2 linked regions of the Macaca mulatta genome follow. The protein of the gene in region 1 purifies or fractionates together with the protein of each later gene. This does not show direct contact. Links are inferred from orthologs where the notes say so. Each region holds a gene or a part of one and is shown in the gene's direction. Other genes may lie near its edges.

Region 1 (4,481 bases):
AATCCTAAGGCTGGTGGTGATCACTTGAGCCCAGGAGTTCGAGACCAGCCTGGACAACATGGCCAAACCCCATCACTACAAAAAATAGAAAAATTAGCTGGGCGTGGTGGCGCACGCCTGTAGTCCCAACTACTTGGAGGCTGAGGTAGGAGGATCTCTTGAGCCCAGGAGAAGGAGGTTGCAGTGAGCGGAGATCATGCCACTGCACTCCAACCTGTGTGACAGAGCGAAACCCTGTCTCAAAAAAAATAAAATAAAATAAAGAAAAAACCCTAAGGCCATATACAGGCTCATTCACTTGGGGTCTCCTTTCACCCAGGCAAGCAGCTTTCCGTCTTTGCATTTTCCAAAGACTGCAAAGCAGGCTGGGGTGGGGTGGAGAACACAGGAAACAGCCAGTTCCCCTTCACTTCTCACCATCTTGATCTCCTCCCAAACCAAAATCCTATGTCTTTCCTTTTAACATACGCTTACAGAAATGCAGTCTTCTGTAGGAAAATTGAGGTCATGCATTCCAAAGTATTTAAGGGTATGATTTTTAAATTTTAGGAATCTAGTTCTCCAAGAAATCCCGGTTTGGGATATAGATGAACGAGCTATTTGGGAGAGATTTCGATGAGAATGAATTTTAGAGAAGTAGCAAGGTGAGGAGAGAGTCAGCTTAGCGTTTGGCTTTTGCAGTCAAACTTCAGCAAGGCGAAGTAACCTCGCTGGTCTTAATTTTCTCATCGGTAATAGGGAAAATAATAATGCTAACATTGATGAGTTACTTTACTTCAATATTTAAAAAACCGACTCTCCGCTATCTATTCTAATGATAAAAATGTAGACAGAGCATCGTCCCTTGCTGTGAAAAATCTTATGAACAAGTGAATTGCGGTGAGGATTCACACATAGTATGTGCTTAATAAACATTATTATTTTATTGTTTAGATTAGAAGAGGGGTGGAGGGAGAAATGAAAGCGGTTTGGAAACCCCAAATACTACCAAAACCCTGGGGACGGAAGTAGAGAGGAATTTCGGGTTACGATTTGGTTCCTGGTCTGAGTTTCAACGTTGAATACTCCCATATTTGGGCCTGAATTCTCAAAACAGAATAGGATGTAAGGGCTGAGATCATCTGGTACAGTTTTATGCAAATCGAAAATTCTTGCCTCTTGTCAATGTGCCCTGGCGAGAAACAACACCTCCACCCAAGCTCATCCAATCTCAGCCCCAACTAGGTGACGTCATCTCTCCGCCCCGCAACCCCCAAGCCCCAGGCAGTCCTGTCTCTAAGATACAGTCCCAGCCCCAGTCCCAGCGGCGCCTGCGCACTTTGAACAGGGGCGGGGAGGACGCGTGCGCGCTGCGTGGGGGCGGGACTAGTGCGCACGCAGCCTTAGCTTCTTCCCCGCCCTTGCTCTTCCCAGTTTCTCCGTCAGCCTGCGGGTCCCGGCTGGCGGCTGCTTCCGGTAGGAGAGTGGTGTAGGGCGAGCAGGTCTCAGCTCCTCATCATGTCATACGGTCCCTTAGATATGTACCGGAACCTGGGGCCCTCAGGGCCCCAGCTCCGGGACTTCAGCAGCATCATCCAGACGTGCAGCGGCAACATCCAGCGGATCAGCCAAGCCAGTGAGCCGGGGTACCGAGCTGGGGGGCGGGAGCTGTCCCCGGGACAGGCCTGGGTGAGACTGTCGGGTCGCGGAGCCCGGCTGGGACTACGGCCGAGGCCACACCTGGGGCTGTCTCGGGCTGTCCACCCTGGGGGCGGTGGGCTTGCCTCCCCCAGTCTGTCAGGCCCGGGCTGCCCGAGGGTCCCCGGCCCCAGCTGAAGCTTGAGCTGCTTCTCTGGAGTTCTGCCCCCACGGTTCTGGGACCAAAACAGCCCGAGGGTGGGAAGGGGAGTGTGTGTCATCTCGAGAGCTGTGAGTGCGTTGACTTGGCGCAGTGGTCAGCCGAGTTTCTCCTGTCATCCACCTTCCTCCCCACCCACCTCGCTTTCCTCTTAGGCCAGTTTGGATGGGGTTGTTTACTGATTTAGGCTTTAGGTTTACATTCTGCTCAGCCCCTGGCTCCTCGGAAATCAGCAACTTTCAATTAAGGGAAGTGGAGAGTGCATGTGTTTGGATGACTTCATACACAGTTCTTCCTGTAATGAATTCGGAAATCAGACACAATGACTGGTATTTGAGAGGTGGGATGACTTCTGTTTTAATAAAGATAATTCACCAGCAACATTTCAACTTACATTATTTTGTCTTTTGTAACAAAGCATTGGGGTGTATTTTTGGATTTCAGGCAGATGAGGCTTTTGTTTTCCTTCCCTACTTAGCTGCTCTTGAACAAATCTGGTACACAGGGAAGCTAAGAGACTTAGCCACAACCACAGAGCAAGTAATGCATGGTAGAGTTGTTGGTGGAATTCAGAATGGTATTGCTTGTCTTAAAACTCCCTCCTCCCCATTAGGGTCTGAGTGAAACTGTAGCTGAATGAGTCAAATACAGGGTGTTTCTTGGGCTTGAAAATCATCTTGGAGCCTTATAAACAGGAGATCAGCAACAGCTTTACTTGGAAAGAATGGTGGTCATCATCCTTATTGTTTATTATTGTGTTTTGTGAGCTTGGTGTACTCTGTTAATAGGTAGAACTAGTTAGTCCTGAATTACAATTCTGTATTTTAAATAATATCACTTTGCTTTAGTTTTTAAACTTTAAAAAATTTTTCTTTTTTGTAGAGATGAAGTCTTGCTGTGTTGGCCAGGCTGGTCTCAAACCCCTGGGCACAAGCACTTCTCCCACCTCAGCCTCCCAAAGTGCTGGGATTACAGGCGTGAGCCACTGTGCCCAGCCTAATTTTTTTAATTTAAAAAAATTAAATATTTTAAATTTGTTTTTAAGAGATGGAGTCTAGCTCTGTCACCCAGGCAGAGTGCAGTGATCTGAGTGAAGTAGAGCGATCCTAGCTGGCTATAACCTTGAATTCCTGATCAGCTTGCTGAGTCGCGAGGACTACAAGGATGCATCTACCATGCCAGGCTAATTTTTAAATTTTTTGTAGGGATGGGGTCTCACTATGTTGCCCAGGCTCACTTTGCTTTTAAATCTAAATGTATATTGTAGAATTTGAGAAGTTTCTGATCAAAAGCAGTTGAGACTCTGGAAGTGAAAGGAAGGGTATGTGACCTCTTAAAATCCAGAACTAAAAAAAAATAATATGACCACTGGTTAGAAAGTGTAGTACTTTTTGTTCCAGTTTCCTTTTGTGAAGGAGCTGTAATACAGGTTAGATCAGAAAATTCTAGTTCAAGGCTGAAATTTTCTTGTTGAAGCTAAATCTGATTTTAATATCTATTTGCAAAATATTCATTCAACTTGTATTCAATATTATATATATCATATATAATATTATATTTAATATATAATATAAACATGAAGATGGATAGATGGATACATGTTGAATGAATATTATATACATGCTGATATATATATATATATATATAAAACCAGAATACTCCCAAAGGTAGATCCAACATACATTTTAAAATTTACATTTAAATTTTTGTTTTGAGACAGGGTCTCACTCTGTCACCCAGGCTGGAGTGCAGTGGCATGATCTCAGCTCACTGCAGCCTCAGCTTCCCTGGCTCAAGCAGTCCTCCTGCCTCAGCCCTACAAGTAGCTGGGACTACAGGTGTGCACCACCATGCCCGGCTAATTTTTTTTTTTTTCTTTTGAGATGGAGTCTTGCTGTGTCGCCCAGGCTGGAGTGCAGTGGCACAATCTCCGCTCACTGCAAGCCCCGCCTCCTGGGTTCACACCATTCTCCTGCCTCAGCCTCCTGAGTAGCTGGGACTACAGGCGCCCACCACCACGCCCGGCTAATTTTTTTTTTTTTTTTTTTTTTTTTTTTTTTGAGACGGAGTCTCGCTCTGTCGCCCAGGCTGGAGTGCAGTGGCCGGTTCTCAGCTCACTGCACGCTCCGCCTCCCGGGTTTATGCCATTCTCCTGCCTCAGCCTCCCAAGTAGCTGGGAGACGGGGTTTCACCGTGTTAGCCAAGATGGTCTCGATCTCCTGACCTCGCGATCCGCCCGTCTCAGCCTCCCAAAGTGCTGGGATTACAGGCTTGAGCCACCGCGCCCGGCCAATTTTTTGTAGTTTTAGTGGAGACGGGGTTTCACCGTATTAGCCAGGATGGTCTCGATCTCCTGACCTCGTGATTCGCCTGCCTTGGCCTCCCAAAGTGCTGGGAATACAGGCATGAGCCACTGCGCCTGGCCCATGCCTGGCTAATTTTTATATTTTTTGTAGAGATGGAGTTTCACCATGTTGTCCAGGCTGGTCCTGAACTCCTGTTCTCAAGTGATCCACCCACCTTGGCCTCCCAATAGGCCAGGATTACACATGTGAGCCACCACGCCTAGCCTTCAACATACATTTATTTGAGTATGTAGTAAGTGTAAGAACTGGCATGGATCTTTCAACAGAGAACCTGCAGA
Region 2 (4,445 bases), on another chromosome or scaffold:
CATACAAGGCCCCCTCCCAGGTTATCCCTGACCCCTGCCCCACACTGATCTTCTCAGGCCTTGGGGCACCCTCCCGTCCCGCCCTCCCCCCGCACGGTGGGAACTCAAAAATTATTCCCCCTTAAAAGACCATTCCCAAACTCGTCCCCATTCAACGATGGTGCCACACTGCGACGACCTGCCGAAGACGCCCCCGTCCCCGCCCCACTAACCTTACCACGGAGACCCCACAATGACTTACCCGGCCCAGGCGCTATCTCTGAGACCCCACGCAGCAACTCTGACGCGCAAGGGGGCGACCCTCTGAGGACTCCCTCGGATAACCCGCCCACCCTCCAGGGGAGACCAGGCCCCCTACCACTCAAAAAAGTGCTTTCCCGAAGCTTCCCTCACCCCTCAACACACAGAGCGCCACTGTCACACATAGGGACGACCCTGAGTCCCTTCGCTGATATTCCTGGCCCGTACCCAGACGGAGACCCCACACAGAGGGCCCCCCTGGAGACCATCCTCAAAGCCACCATACCTCCCGCGACCCCCAGGCTCTCACCCAGAAAGAATCCGCGCTTCTGAAGACACCCACCTCCACGCACGCTCTCGAAGGTGACCTCCCCCCGCCCCTGGAATATCTGGGACCCCCACTCACGGCCACCTCGCCCCAAGGCGACCTCGAGGTGCCCCCAGCTTGCCCACTTCTCAGGAAAGAGAGATTTGGAGAATGCGGCAGAACTCCCCGCAGGAGCAGGCCCGCTCCTCGCCCCGCCCCGGCAGGGAGAAGGAAGGACCACCTCTCCCCCAAACCTTGCCCAAACCTGACACTCGGGACCCTGGACTGGGACGATCTCCCAGGTGCCAGCTCAGGGAGTCCATGAAAACGTTCAACCAATCGAATGAGCCCCTTCCCCAGCCATAGTCCCCAGCCGCCAGAGATAAGGGAGGCTACCATTATTTACATTGCCCGTGCCTGGAAGGGAAACTGAGGTTGAGCAGGAACAATCCGAGGAACTGAGCCTTGAACCGAGATTCCGAACTCGGACCCGAACAGGCCCAGCCAGAACTCCGACACCGCTCCCTACGGTGCGGCACAAGAGGGCGAAGGGGCGGGGCATGCGTACCGGAAGCTGCCTCTGCCCACAACCAAGATGGCTGCAGAGAGGGCGGAAGTGTCCGCACGTCCGGCCTCCGAGGCCTCTCTTTCTGCCCTGGCGGTCCCGCTCTCGATGGTGGCGTGACGGGGGGCGGGGGTGGTGGCGCGTTCTCCTGGGTTGGGAGAGAACCAGCCCGCGAACCCAGGCCGGGAGGGGGTTTCGGCCTGGGGGGAAGGGGATTGACATGTCTCTCGAAGACCCCTTTTTTGTAGTCCGAGGGTGAGTGACCACGACGGGGGAGGGCGGAGGGTGCTCCGTCCCCAATCCAGCTAGTGCCCGGGTGCCGGCTCCAGCGTGCCCGGCGGGCTAGGCAAGGCCGTCGGGGTGCAAAGTGGGAGGCGCACGCAGGGGTATGTGGGGGTCTCCGGAGTCCCCCATGCGTTTGGGTTTGCAATCGGGGGCAGAGGCAGGCGGAAGGACCGCCTGCCCCCAGCTGCGCCCGCCGTGCCCCTGCCCGCAGCGAGGTGCAGAAGGCGGTGAACACGGCCCGCGGGCTATACCAGCGCTGGTGCGAGCTTCTGCAGGAAAGCGCGGCGGTCGGACGCGAGGAGCTGGACTGGACGACCAATGAGCTACGGAATGGCCTGCGCAGCATCGAGTGGGACCTCGAGGACCTGGAAGAGACCATCGATATCCTGGGGCTTTGTGGCGGGGGGTGGCATGGGAGAGCTCACTGGGGTAGCAGGGGGCCTGGGAGCCCGCCCTCGGGGAGGGCTAGACCCCTAGGGAGGGGGATGATGATGCTATCTGGCTCTGGCCTTGACCCTTGACTCTCAGCCCACGTATAGTGGAAGCCAACCCAGGCAAGTTCAAGCTCCCGGCCGGGGACCTGCAGGAGAGAAAGGTGTTCGTGGAGCGGATGCGAGAGGCAGTCCAGGTCAGGAAAGGTCCTGCAGGCGGGGAGTGGGGGACGGTTTGAGTGTCTTTTTTGTTTTGTTTTGTTTTGTTTTCTTTTTTTTAACAGAGTCTCTGTCGCTCAGGCTGGAGTACAGTGTTGCCATCTTGGCTTACTGCAACATACGCCTCCCGGTCTCAAGCGATTCTCGTGTCTCAGTCTCCTGAGTAGTTGGGACTTCACAGGTGCCTGCCACCATACCCGGCTAATTTTTGTGTTTTTAGTAGAGACGAGGTTTCACCATGTTGGGCAGGCTGGTCTCGAACTCCCGACCTCAGGTGATCCACCCGACTCGGCCTCTCAAAGTGCTGGGATTACAGGCGTGAGCCACCGCGCCGGGCCTGAGTGTCTTTCCTCCCTAATGCTGTCCTCACTTCCAGGAAATGAAGGACCATATGGTCAGCCCAACAGCCGTAGCATTTTTGGAGAGGAATAACAGAGAGGTAAGCCTTCCTAACCCACTCGGTCCACCTGAGCGCCTGGGGGTGACCACGCCTTTGAGTGCAAGCCAGATCCCTCTGCATGTGTTCGCCTGTCCCTTTTGCGACAGTGCCCGTCCTCTCTGTGTGTAGTTGTCTTCTTGCTGTCTACCTGCCTGCACTTTCTCGGTGTGTGCACCTGAACTTCTCTGTGTGTATATGTCCATGGGTTCCTCTCTACTGTCTCCTCTGGGTCTATACTGGTTTCCTGTTGCAGGGGACGGCTGGGGGCCTGTGTACCTATCTGCTTTCTGCTTCCATGCCATTTGTCCTGTTTGTAGCTGTTTCCAGGACGCATGCCTGCCTTTTACTCTTTTTTTTTTTGAGATGGAGTCTTGCTCTGTTGCCCAGGCTGGAGTGTAGTGGCTCGATCTCAGCTCACTGCAAGCTCCGCCTCCTGGGTTCAAGCGATTCTCCTGCCTCAGCTTCCCTAGTAGCTGGGATTACAGGTGCCCATCACCATGCCCAGGTAATTTTTATATTTTTAGTAGGGTTTCATCATCCTGGACAGCCTGGTCTCGAACTCCTCACATTTCACATCAAGTGATCTGCCCGCCTCAGCCTCCCAAAGTGCTGGGATTACAGACATGAGCCATTGCGCATAGCTTCCTTTTTTTTTTTTTTTTTTTTTTTCCTGAGATGCAGTCTCGCTCTGTTGCCAGGCTGGAGTGCAGTGGCGCGATCTTGACTCACTGCAACCTCCGCCTCCTGGGATCAAGTGATTCTCCAGCCTCAGCTTCCTGAGTAGCTGAAATACAGGCACATGCCACCATGCCCGGCTAATTTTTTTTTTTTTTTGAGACGGAGTCTTGCTCTGTTGCCCAGGCTGGAGTGCTGTGATGTGATCTTGGCTCACTGCAACCTCCGCTTCCCGGGTTCAAGCCATTCTCTGTCTCAGCCTCCCGAGTAGCTGGGATTATAGGCTTCCACCAGAATGCCTGGCTAAATTTTGTATTTCTTTTTTCTTTTTTTTTTTTTGAGATGGAGTCTCGCTGTGTCGCCCAGGCTGGAGTGCAGTGGCCGGATCTCAGCTCACTGCAAACTTCGCCTCCTGGGTTTATGCCATTCTCCTGCCTCAGCCTCCCGAGTAGCTGGGACTACAGGTGCCCGCCACCACACCTGGCTAGTTTTTTGTATTTTTTTAGTAGAGACAGGGTTTCACCGTGTTAGCCAGGATGGTCTTGATCTCCTGACCTTGTGATCTGCCTGTCTCAGCCTCCCAAAGTGCTGAGATTACAGGCTTGAGCCACTGCACCCGGCCAAATTTTGTATTTCTTTTTTTTTTTTTTTTTTTTTTTTTTGAGACAGAGTCTCGCTGTGTCTCCCAGGCTGGAGTGCAGTGGCGTGATCTCGGCTCACTGCAAGCTCTGCCTCCTGGGTTCACGCTATTCTCCCGCCTCAGCCTCCCAAGTAGCTGAGACTACAGGCGCCCGCCACCACGCCCGGCTAGTTTTTTGTATTTTTAGTAGAGACGGGGTTTCACCATGTTAGCCAGGATAGTCTCGATCTCCTGACCTCGTGATCCACCCGCCTCGGCCTCCCAAAGTGCTGGGATTACAGGCTTGAGCCACCGCGCCCGGCCCAAATTTTGTATTTCTAGTAGAGATGGGGTTTCAACATCTTGGCCAGGCTGGTCTTGAACTCCTGACCTCGTGATCCACCCACCTCGGCCTCCCAAAGTGCTGGGATTAGGTGTGAGCCACCGTGCCCGGCCAATTTTTTTTTTTTTTTTTTTTTTTTTTTTGAGACGGAGTCTTGTTCTGTCACCCAGGCTGGAGTGCAGTGGCCGGATCTCAGCTCACTGCAAGCTCCGCCTCCCGGGTTTACGCCATTCTCCCGCCTCAGCCTCCCGAGTAGCTGGGACTACAGGCGCCCGCCACCTCGCCCGGCTATATTTTTTTTATTTTTTAGTAGAGACGGGGT

The links. Proteins that work in one complex are often made in the same cells at the same time.
Region 2: the proteins of STX12 (region 1) and STX10 purify together in Homo sapiens (affinity purification with mass spectrometry; 3 studies listed by BioGRID and IntAct, counting the BioPlex papers as one, with this or other methods). This does not show direct contact. The link is inferred for Macaca mulatta from reciprocal best matches to the Homo sapiens genes STX12 and STX10.

What each region holds. Positions count from the first base shown.
Region 1 is NC_133406.1:213,166,786-213,171,266, reverse strand, and holds the start of STX12 (syntaxin-12), read left to right. Parts: upstream 1-1,483; 5' UTR 1,484-1,497; coding exon 1,498-1,615; intron 1,616-4,481. UniProt on the Homo sapiens protein: SNARE promoting fusion of transport vesicles with target membranes. Together with SNARE STX6, promotes movement of vesicles from endosomes to the cell membrane, and may therefore function in the endocytic recycling pathway.
Region 2 is NC_133424.1:13,720,942-13,725,386, reverse strand, and holds the start of STX10 (syntaxin-10), read left to right. Parts: upstream 1-1,326; 5' UTR 1,327-1,332; coding exon 1,333-1,367; intron 1,368-1,608; coding exon 1,609-1,778; coding exon of another isoform or gene 1,779-1,788; intron 1,789-1,930; coding exon 1,931-2,025; intron 2,026-2,423; coding exon 2,424-2,486; intron 2,487-4,445. UniProt on the Homo sapiens protein: SNARE involved in vesicular transport from the late endosomes to the trans-Golgi network.